2 linked regions of the Drosophila melanogaster genome follow. The protein of the gene in region 1 interacts with the protein of each later gene in a pairwise test. Each region holds a gene or a part of one and is shown on either strand. Other genes may lie near its edges.

The links.
Region 2: the proteins of MCTS1 (region 1) and Aprt interact in a two-hybrid assay, tested with the Drosophila melanogaster proteins (one large-scale study listed by BioGRID).

Annotation. Positions count from the first base shown.
Region 1 is NC_004354.4:6,035,892-6,039,491, reverse strand, and holds the start of MCTS1 (malignant T cell amplified sequence 1), read right to left. Parts: upstream 1,601-3,600; 5' UTR 1,524-1,600; coding exon 1,513-1,523; intron 1,452-1,512; coding exon 1,299-1,451; intron 1,230-1,298; coding exon 927-1,229; intron 617-926; coding exon 535-616; 3' UTR 1-534. Other genes in the region: rux (roughex), read left to right, coding at 2,402-2,423, 2,514-3,499. UniProt on the Drosophila melanogaster protein: Regulates translation as part of a complex with DENR. Specifically required for translational re-initiation in mRNAs containing upstream open reading frames (uORFs). Not required for standard translational initiation.
Region 2 is NT_037436.4:1,883,131-1,887,267, reverse strand, and holds Aprt (adenine phosphoribosyltransferase), read left to right. Parts: upstream 1-2,248; 5' UTR 2,249-2,482; coding exon 2,483-2,577; intron 2,578-2,707; coding exon 2,708-2,945; intron 2,946-3,019; coding exon 3,020-3,235; 3' UTR 3,236-3,376; downstream 3,377-4,137.

The sequences.
Region 1 (3,600 bases):
TAGTTATAAGCTCTTTTTTGTATACAATCTTTTCGTGTATTCACAAGTGCCCGGATATCAACTATAACCTTGAAATGTTTGTATGAGTTGTTCGCAGCCCTGGCAAACTTTAAGCTACAGGCCTTGTTTCGTTGCTCTTTAGACTAATCAATAAACAAAAGGAGTCACAGTTATTCAGTCACTCTTAAAATAAGAGCTAACAGAATGAAGACCGCCAAACAGAAGACTCAATGTTCAGTCATACCTGCCGAATCCGATTAAAATGCTCAAATTTAGATCCACTGGACACCTTTCACCTGGACCACTGGTCTCCACAGGTGGTTGGTTTTCTTTTTCAGTACTCTCTCTTTCAATCCCTCTCTGCTCGCTTGAAATGCCATTAATTATATTTCGCAATGTTTTAAATAGTTTAACTGACAGAGTAAAATTAGTAGAAAAAAATAATAATCAGGACTCAGTTGCGTATATCAAAAACCATTCTTTGCTCTCATGACATAGAAGACTAAAAAGTGCAAGTGCAGATTCCTATTTCGCCTACTTCACGGGCTTCGACTTCCACAGGCCGTCGTTGAGGAAGTGGTACGTCTCGATACCGATGCCTTTGTTCTTCGCCAGACTGTGGAAAAGTCAAGAGAAAAGAAAGATGTTCATGGTTTATTCAAATTTAAAAAATATGCACACGGCTCAGCAAATTGGTAACATTGTCCATTTATGATTATTCTTTCACAATTTGATTTTTCCAAGCTCAAGAATATTTCAAAGTTACAAAGCTTTACCATATTTAACCTAGCAACAAACTACTACGTTTGTATTATAAAACAATGTCAAAGACGAACATTTAAACACATTTAAGTAAACTAAATGCAAGCATATAAATTAATATTCTTAGATATTAACTACTAAAGAAGTGGTAGAAGCACACTTACATTTCCTGTGTGGATAACGTGAGGAGTCCAACGGCCAGGGCGTGCTCCTTGCCCTCAGCCATGATGGCCACCACGGTGTCCTTGTCGGCCGGCGTCATACAGGCGCCTGGCGATGTGAGGCCGGGACACATGACGTTCGCTCCGCTCAGGACGAAGCGGATGGCGCCTTTGTCCACTTGCTGCATGGTCACGAAGTAGGGGAACTTGTGCAGGAGGCGCAGGGTAGGCATCCAGGGGCCATCGCGGTGGCGAAAGAACACCTGGTCGCCGGCTCCGTTTAGCAGCAGTTCGATGTGGTCATGGCTGGTGGAGGAGTAGGGATCGGGAATATGAATGGAGTTATGTGCTGTGGCAAGAACTGAGCCATCCTACCACTTGGCGATGCGGTACGAGTCCTTCTTGGGCAGGATCAGGTCGATGTGACTCTCCAACTTGGGATAGGCCTCCAGCAACTTGGCACGTATGCCCTTCTGCACAGACGACTTCAGCTGCTGAATGCTGGAAATGCTGTCCTTCTCTTCGAATCTGCACAGATCGAATTGCTATGGTTAGTCTGATGTCCCCATCTAACTCATGCCATACGTACTTTTTGAACATTTTGCACGATTTCCTTGCGTTCTTTTTTCGTGGTCGACGGTGCTAATCCGTCTTCAATGTATGATAGAAGGTATCGGTTAGAGGTGGAGAAACATCGATGCCAACTCGATGTCATCGATGTTTTCGAAAAATCACAAGCATCGATGTGTTTCGAGGAATCATCGATGGTTTTCCATCGATACTGCGCATCGGAGATAAAAGTGTATAAATTGTACGTAAAAATTAATTTTCCATAAACGTGTAAGCGTGCACGTGCTCGTATGTATACTGGCTTACTTATCCATTGAATTGGACTAATTAGTATTTTTGTTTTATGGGAGCACTTACTGGACCGGCGACGTATGAAAAGCAATATTATGTTAGCAATATTAAAGAAGAAAATAATTCTTAAGTTGTAAACGACTAAGTCTGCCAAAGATCGATGTTTTTCGCCAAACACATCGAAAACATTGAGTCCGCCAACATCGATGTTTCTCCACCTCTAGTATCGGTTATAGAGCTTGGCCCGCTGTGCGGTGTGACCAGTTCTCAGCGGAATGCCAACTATCGCCCCTCAAGTGTGCATGCGATATATGGTATTAACAATTAACGTTTAAATAAAAATCAAACAATATTAATAGACTTAACAGATTAAAGTAATGTGATTTTTACAAGTACAACTAACGTAAAGATTTATCGGGACAACAGTAGCCGAATTACAAGTAGGCGCTGACCCCTGACCCCTCGAGCCGATAGCTAGCGTCACTTTCAACACTGGCCGATATGGCATATTACCAAAACATTGTTGTATCAACAACATAGTGTCCAAGTCGAATTGTATATATTGTAAATTATATTTATTTTTTATAAGCGCAATCGCATGAAAATACTTGAAGGAAATGAGCGCTCCAGAAGAACATAGTAAGTGGCAAACCAACGGATAACAGCTGTATGCGATTGGGCTGATCAATAGGAATCGCATCGCATCTCATCCGCTTGCTTTATTTTCAGAGGAGACGCCTTTGGAGGTGATCCATGAGTTCATCAATGGCGTAGATGATGGGACCATACGCCGCGACCTGGGGGAGGACTGCATCCTCAGCTTCTACAGTCGAAATGTGCGTGGCGCCAAGGCAATCACCGGATTTTTGAGAAACCAGTTGACAATGCGCTACAAGCACGAGGGATTCGAGGAAGCAGCACAAATTGAGTGGGGCGACGAACTTCTGCTGAAGGCGCGCTTCGGCAGATCGTTTGACTCGGAACGTCGTCGCATCTACGAGGAGAAGGAGCGCACAGGCACCACTCTGCATGTGCGTCCAGAGAGCGATGACGAGGAGGTAAATGAAAAGTTTTCCTCAACCCTGATCACACCGCCCCGTCCATCGAGCTACAATTTGAACTCCCTGAAGTATGTGGAGGCGTGTGGCCTGTTGAACAAGCGTAATGAACATATCTACGGCGGCCTGGACATGGGCGAGTCATGCGCGGTCCACCTTACTTTGGGCTATCGGAGCACCTTTCTGCCCGGCGGTCAAGTGAGCGGCTTTGAAATCTGCCTGGCTGTCTACGATCGGGGTCTGACAAGCCTCAAACGATCCACTCTGATTCCGCCACTGTGCAGCATTTCCTTTGCACGACGGGCCAGCGCCCGATGTAATCCAACCACCGATGATGAGGAGGATACCGAGGAGGATTCAACGCCGCCAACAGCGAGGCGCTGCGTGCGTCGTACTTTATTTACAGAGGAGAACACTCAGAAAGAAGAGGATGCCGATTTCATACCCGTGGTGGAGCAAGAGCAGCCAGCACCGCAGGAGCAGCCAGCACCGCAGCAGGCTGAGGAGACTGGCGAGGTAGTGATCCCCGTAGATATATCCACAGCCTTGAAGACCACAAATTTCAGCAGCTGTACACCGAGGAAACGACAACAGGCAACCAATGGCAACGAAGTAGTGCGTAAACGTGCGACGGGACCAAGGCGGATGCGTTTCTAGACCGGACAGATATTTAAACAGCTATAGTCCCTAGTTGCTTTTCCAAATTTACGTAGCACAATTATTTTCTTTGGCTTTCGAGGATACCCGACAAATTTCCG
Region 2 (4,137 bases), on another chromosome or scaffold:
TGCATATATTGTGTTCCAAACAGACGATTTCTTTTCTCCTCCCAGCAGGGAGAACCGCAAAACGGAACGGGATTGAAGACACGGAGAACCGGCAAAATTTTACTTTTTTTGCGGTCAGTTACTCAATGTATTGACAGCCGTTCCAGCTGCCATCCATTTTGGGAGAAGTCCGCTTTTTTCAGCGCTTACTTTTTGCGAAAGTTGCTGGTGGTGGATGCCACACAGCCCCTTTGAAGAGTCTTCAATCCGACCCGATCCCATCCAGAGCTGGTCCGCTCACTCATCCACTCGCTCGTGGGCCGCTGGTATGTGTCTCTGTTTCCCTACGTTTTTTATTAGATCACGATTTGGATGTTAGCAAACATTCGCGCATACCAAGCTGCCAACCATGATCAACGGGCCCAAACAACTACAATGGGGGTCTATGCATAATCGCAGCTCACAACGAGATTCTTCACTCGGCTTTTGCCTACGAAAAAGTCAGGAGCGGCTAGAGGTTCTATCTAATATCAGGGATATTTCAAATCGTAAGCTAATCTGAATCAGCTCTACTGACTCACACTCTGCAGTGTGAAATATGTGAACCATCTGTTCATAACATAACTTTTGGAAATATTACAATCCATCTTCCAAAGTTCGGCCATAAATTTCCCTTTTTCCTGCTGCTTTCCGAGCGCCCTATTTCCATGCCCTTCATCACGAAGGCCGCCTCTGCGCAGCCGCAGAAGTTTCGTTTCAGTAGAGATGCTCGTTTGCCTCAAAAAAGAAATATAAAAACAAAACCCAGCAGAAAAACAAAAAACTGTGCCTCTTTCTGGTTTTTCACGTTACTCGGGCGCGCAGTTGTTGTTGCAGTTGCAGTTGCAGCAGTTGTTGTTGCAGTTGCAGTTTTCGTACGCACGTCTTCACATTGCCAAGTTATGCATGTGTGTGTGACTAGCACACTGAGAAGAAATTGCGTTAAGTTTCTAAAATATTTCAGAAACCATTTCGAGTTGAAGGTTATCCAAAAGTATCAACTATTTTAAACCAATTTTAAACCTAAGACTACAATGCTTTTGTGACAAGTTTCTCAAGCTATTTTCCCAATTATTTCTCCAAGTGCAACCGTACAAGTATGCGATTGTGAATGTGTTTCTGCACTTCGCTATATTGTGTCTAATGTTGCATAGATACATATGTATATATTTTTTGTAGGTTTTCACGTTTTTATGTTGTTTGAACTTTGTTGTTTCAGTTGTTATTGGAGTAACTGCAGTATGGTTGTTGTTTATGGCTGCCTTTAGAGTCGTTTTCCGACATTTAAAATGGCAAAAACGGGGCGCAGTTTTGTCGTCTGACATTTACTTCTGCCGTTAAGATCGAATTCAAACTGAGGATTTGCAAACTCTTGCTTTTTCATGCGTTATTTCGCTGCTTACGTTGGTCGAGAACAGGTTTCGGTTTTAGCTGTTCCTCCGGACTATTGTTGTTATTTTAATTTACTACTATTGTTCGCGAGTTTGCATTAATTATTAAAAATCGCGGGCAAGGAATTCGAATTCGATCCGCTTCTTCCGAAGAAACCAATAAAACTGAACCGTCGCGTTCGGCGCTGAGAAACGAACTGAATCTTTCTTGGCATTGGGAGTCTAAGATACAGACACACAGATACTCACATTCACTTGCGTGCCTGTGTGAGTGGGCCACCGAGAGAAAGAGGGAACAAGAGAGAGAGAGAGAGATGGAGTCCAGGTGAGAGTTCCCGATCTTGGCCCGCCTTTGATAAGTGCAGCGAAAATTGTTGGCATTTCTTTTCAATCATTTAGCTCGATAAACAGTGCTGCATTCAATGTCTTTCCCTCAAAGAATTACTGAGATTTCTCCACTTATCTATCTGATAGCCTCGAGATCTGGAGAAAGACCCAGAGAAAAGTCGGGGGAGGTTTCTTAATGCCTCTTGTCTACCTGCAGGATGTTTGCCGCATTCATTGAACTGCTTTCTTTGTGCAAGCAAATGTCAAACCAAATGTTTGGTTTTGAAATAGCTAGCCGACATTAGAACTCTAAGATAAATGTGGAAATACACAGAAAATATACGAAATATCATATCATCAATATATATCATAAAGAGAAGAGTGGTTGTAGTTAACTAAATCAAAACCCATAAATTATATTGATTGCTTTCAATAGTGAAATACCGACGATTTGGCATTATATTAATTTTTTCCGAATTTATATTTTCAAAGCGTTTAAAAGTCCCCACAGCACCTTATCCACCTCAATTTCAAATCGACCGCGCAGCGAACTCAACACGACCGTTCATCGTGTGGCATATCTCCCATCTATAGCAACCACCTTCCCCGATATCAGCTGACTTATCAGCTGTTCCGTACGGCAATCCGCAGTTGGGCACGCACTCACGTAGCGCTACAGTCAGAAAACCCATGTAAAAAGTCCCTTATAACTAAGTTAATAAATAAATAAACATAAAAGTAGAAAAATGAGCCCCTCAATCAGCGCGGAAGACAAGCTAGACTATGTAAAGAGCAAGATTGGCGAGTATCCGAACTTCCCAAAGGAGGGCATTCTGTTCCGGTGAGTTATCGTCACTCGAGGTTATTAGATTGGAGCACTAATAGTGCTGCGATGATGATTATGGGCGAGCAAATGGACCCTTATCAGGTTGTTAATGTGTAAAATCATTTGTTTTCATATTAAACATCAGTGACATATTCGGAGCCCTCACCGATCCGAAGGCATGTGTGTACTTGCGCGATTTGCTTGTTGATCACATCCGGGAAAGTGCTCCCGAGGCGGAGGTCATCGTGGGACTGGACTCGCGGGGCTTCCTCTTTAATCTCCTCATAGCCACCGAGCTGGGCCTGGGATGTGCTCCGATTCGCAAGAAGGGCAAGCTGGCGGGAGAAGTGGTTTCCGTGGAATACAAACTGGAGTACGGTATTGTGAGTACTCCCAAATATATTACTTACTATTCCCAAGCACAAAGATGTTTATGCTTTCAACTTAATTATCCCAGGACACCTTTGAGCTGCAAAAATCCGCCATCAAGCCCGGCCAAAAAGTCGTTGTCGTTGACGATCTACTAGCCACAGGTGGTTCCCTGGTGGCCGCCACTGAACTCATCGGCAAGGTGGGTGGCGTTGTCGTGGAGAGCCTGGTGGTCATGGAACTAGTTGGACTGGAGGGTCGCAAAAGGCTGGATGGAAAAGTGCATTCCCTCATTAAGTACTGAGAGTTAATCGAATTGTGACGAAGCCTTCCACACTTGCATTTACCTATTCAACTAGCAAATTTTTATAAAAACTAGACAGACGCATATTTTTATAACGAAATATATTTGGCTCTGATAACAGAATCGTATAATCTCTCAATGAAACATAGCTTATTTTATTTTGAATAATAATACATGGGTTGACTATTACGGTGAAACATTTGTATAAGCAAAAAGTATGTAAAACAGCGACAAAAGCAAAAATAAATAACGAAACTTGGATATCGAAAACTATTTTTGGATAGTTTTCCGAACATAAATTAAATAATCTATTTTAAATTTTGGTGTTGTTATAGGGTTTTTAGGTATGTATATATTAAAGAATATATTACTTAAAAAAAGTGCACATGAAAATAATTATTAATTTAACTTTTCCAGCTATTTACGTACATTAAATTTTCTTTAATTATTAGCAATCCAAAAAGTATGCTTTGAAATATGTTACGTGAGTAAGAAGCAACAATGCAAACGGATGAAATTCAAACCAAGATTAACGGATGTCTTTAAATGGGTAAACATTTTTAACTGCTTAAAAATTATATCAAAAATATATTTTCTAAAAAACGATTTTCTCTCTCTGCGCACTCACTGCACTCTCACCTCCCTCTCTCTCTCTCTTGGCACATTCACTGATTTCGTCGCTCTCAAGTTTACCGTTACCGGCGCCTTTGCTCAGCGATAAACAAAAATTGTTGTGCTGCGTTAACCCAGAATTCGAGGAACTTCCGCCCCCGCCCAGCCCGCCGATAAACAAATCACACCAACCCAACAACCCCCCGAAAAGACACGGAAAAATAGCAACAAACCGAGCGCGCAAGGAAAAATCAAGGAATCAAGGAGCGGAGAGCCAGAAGGAAGAGAGA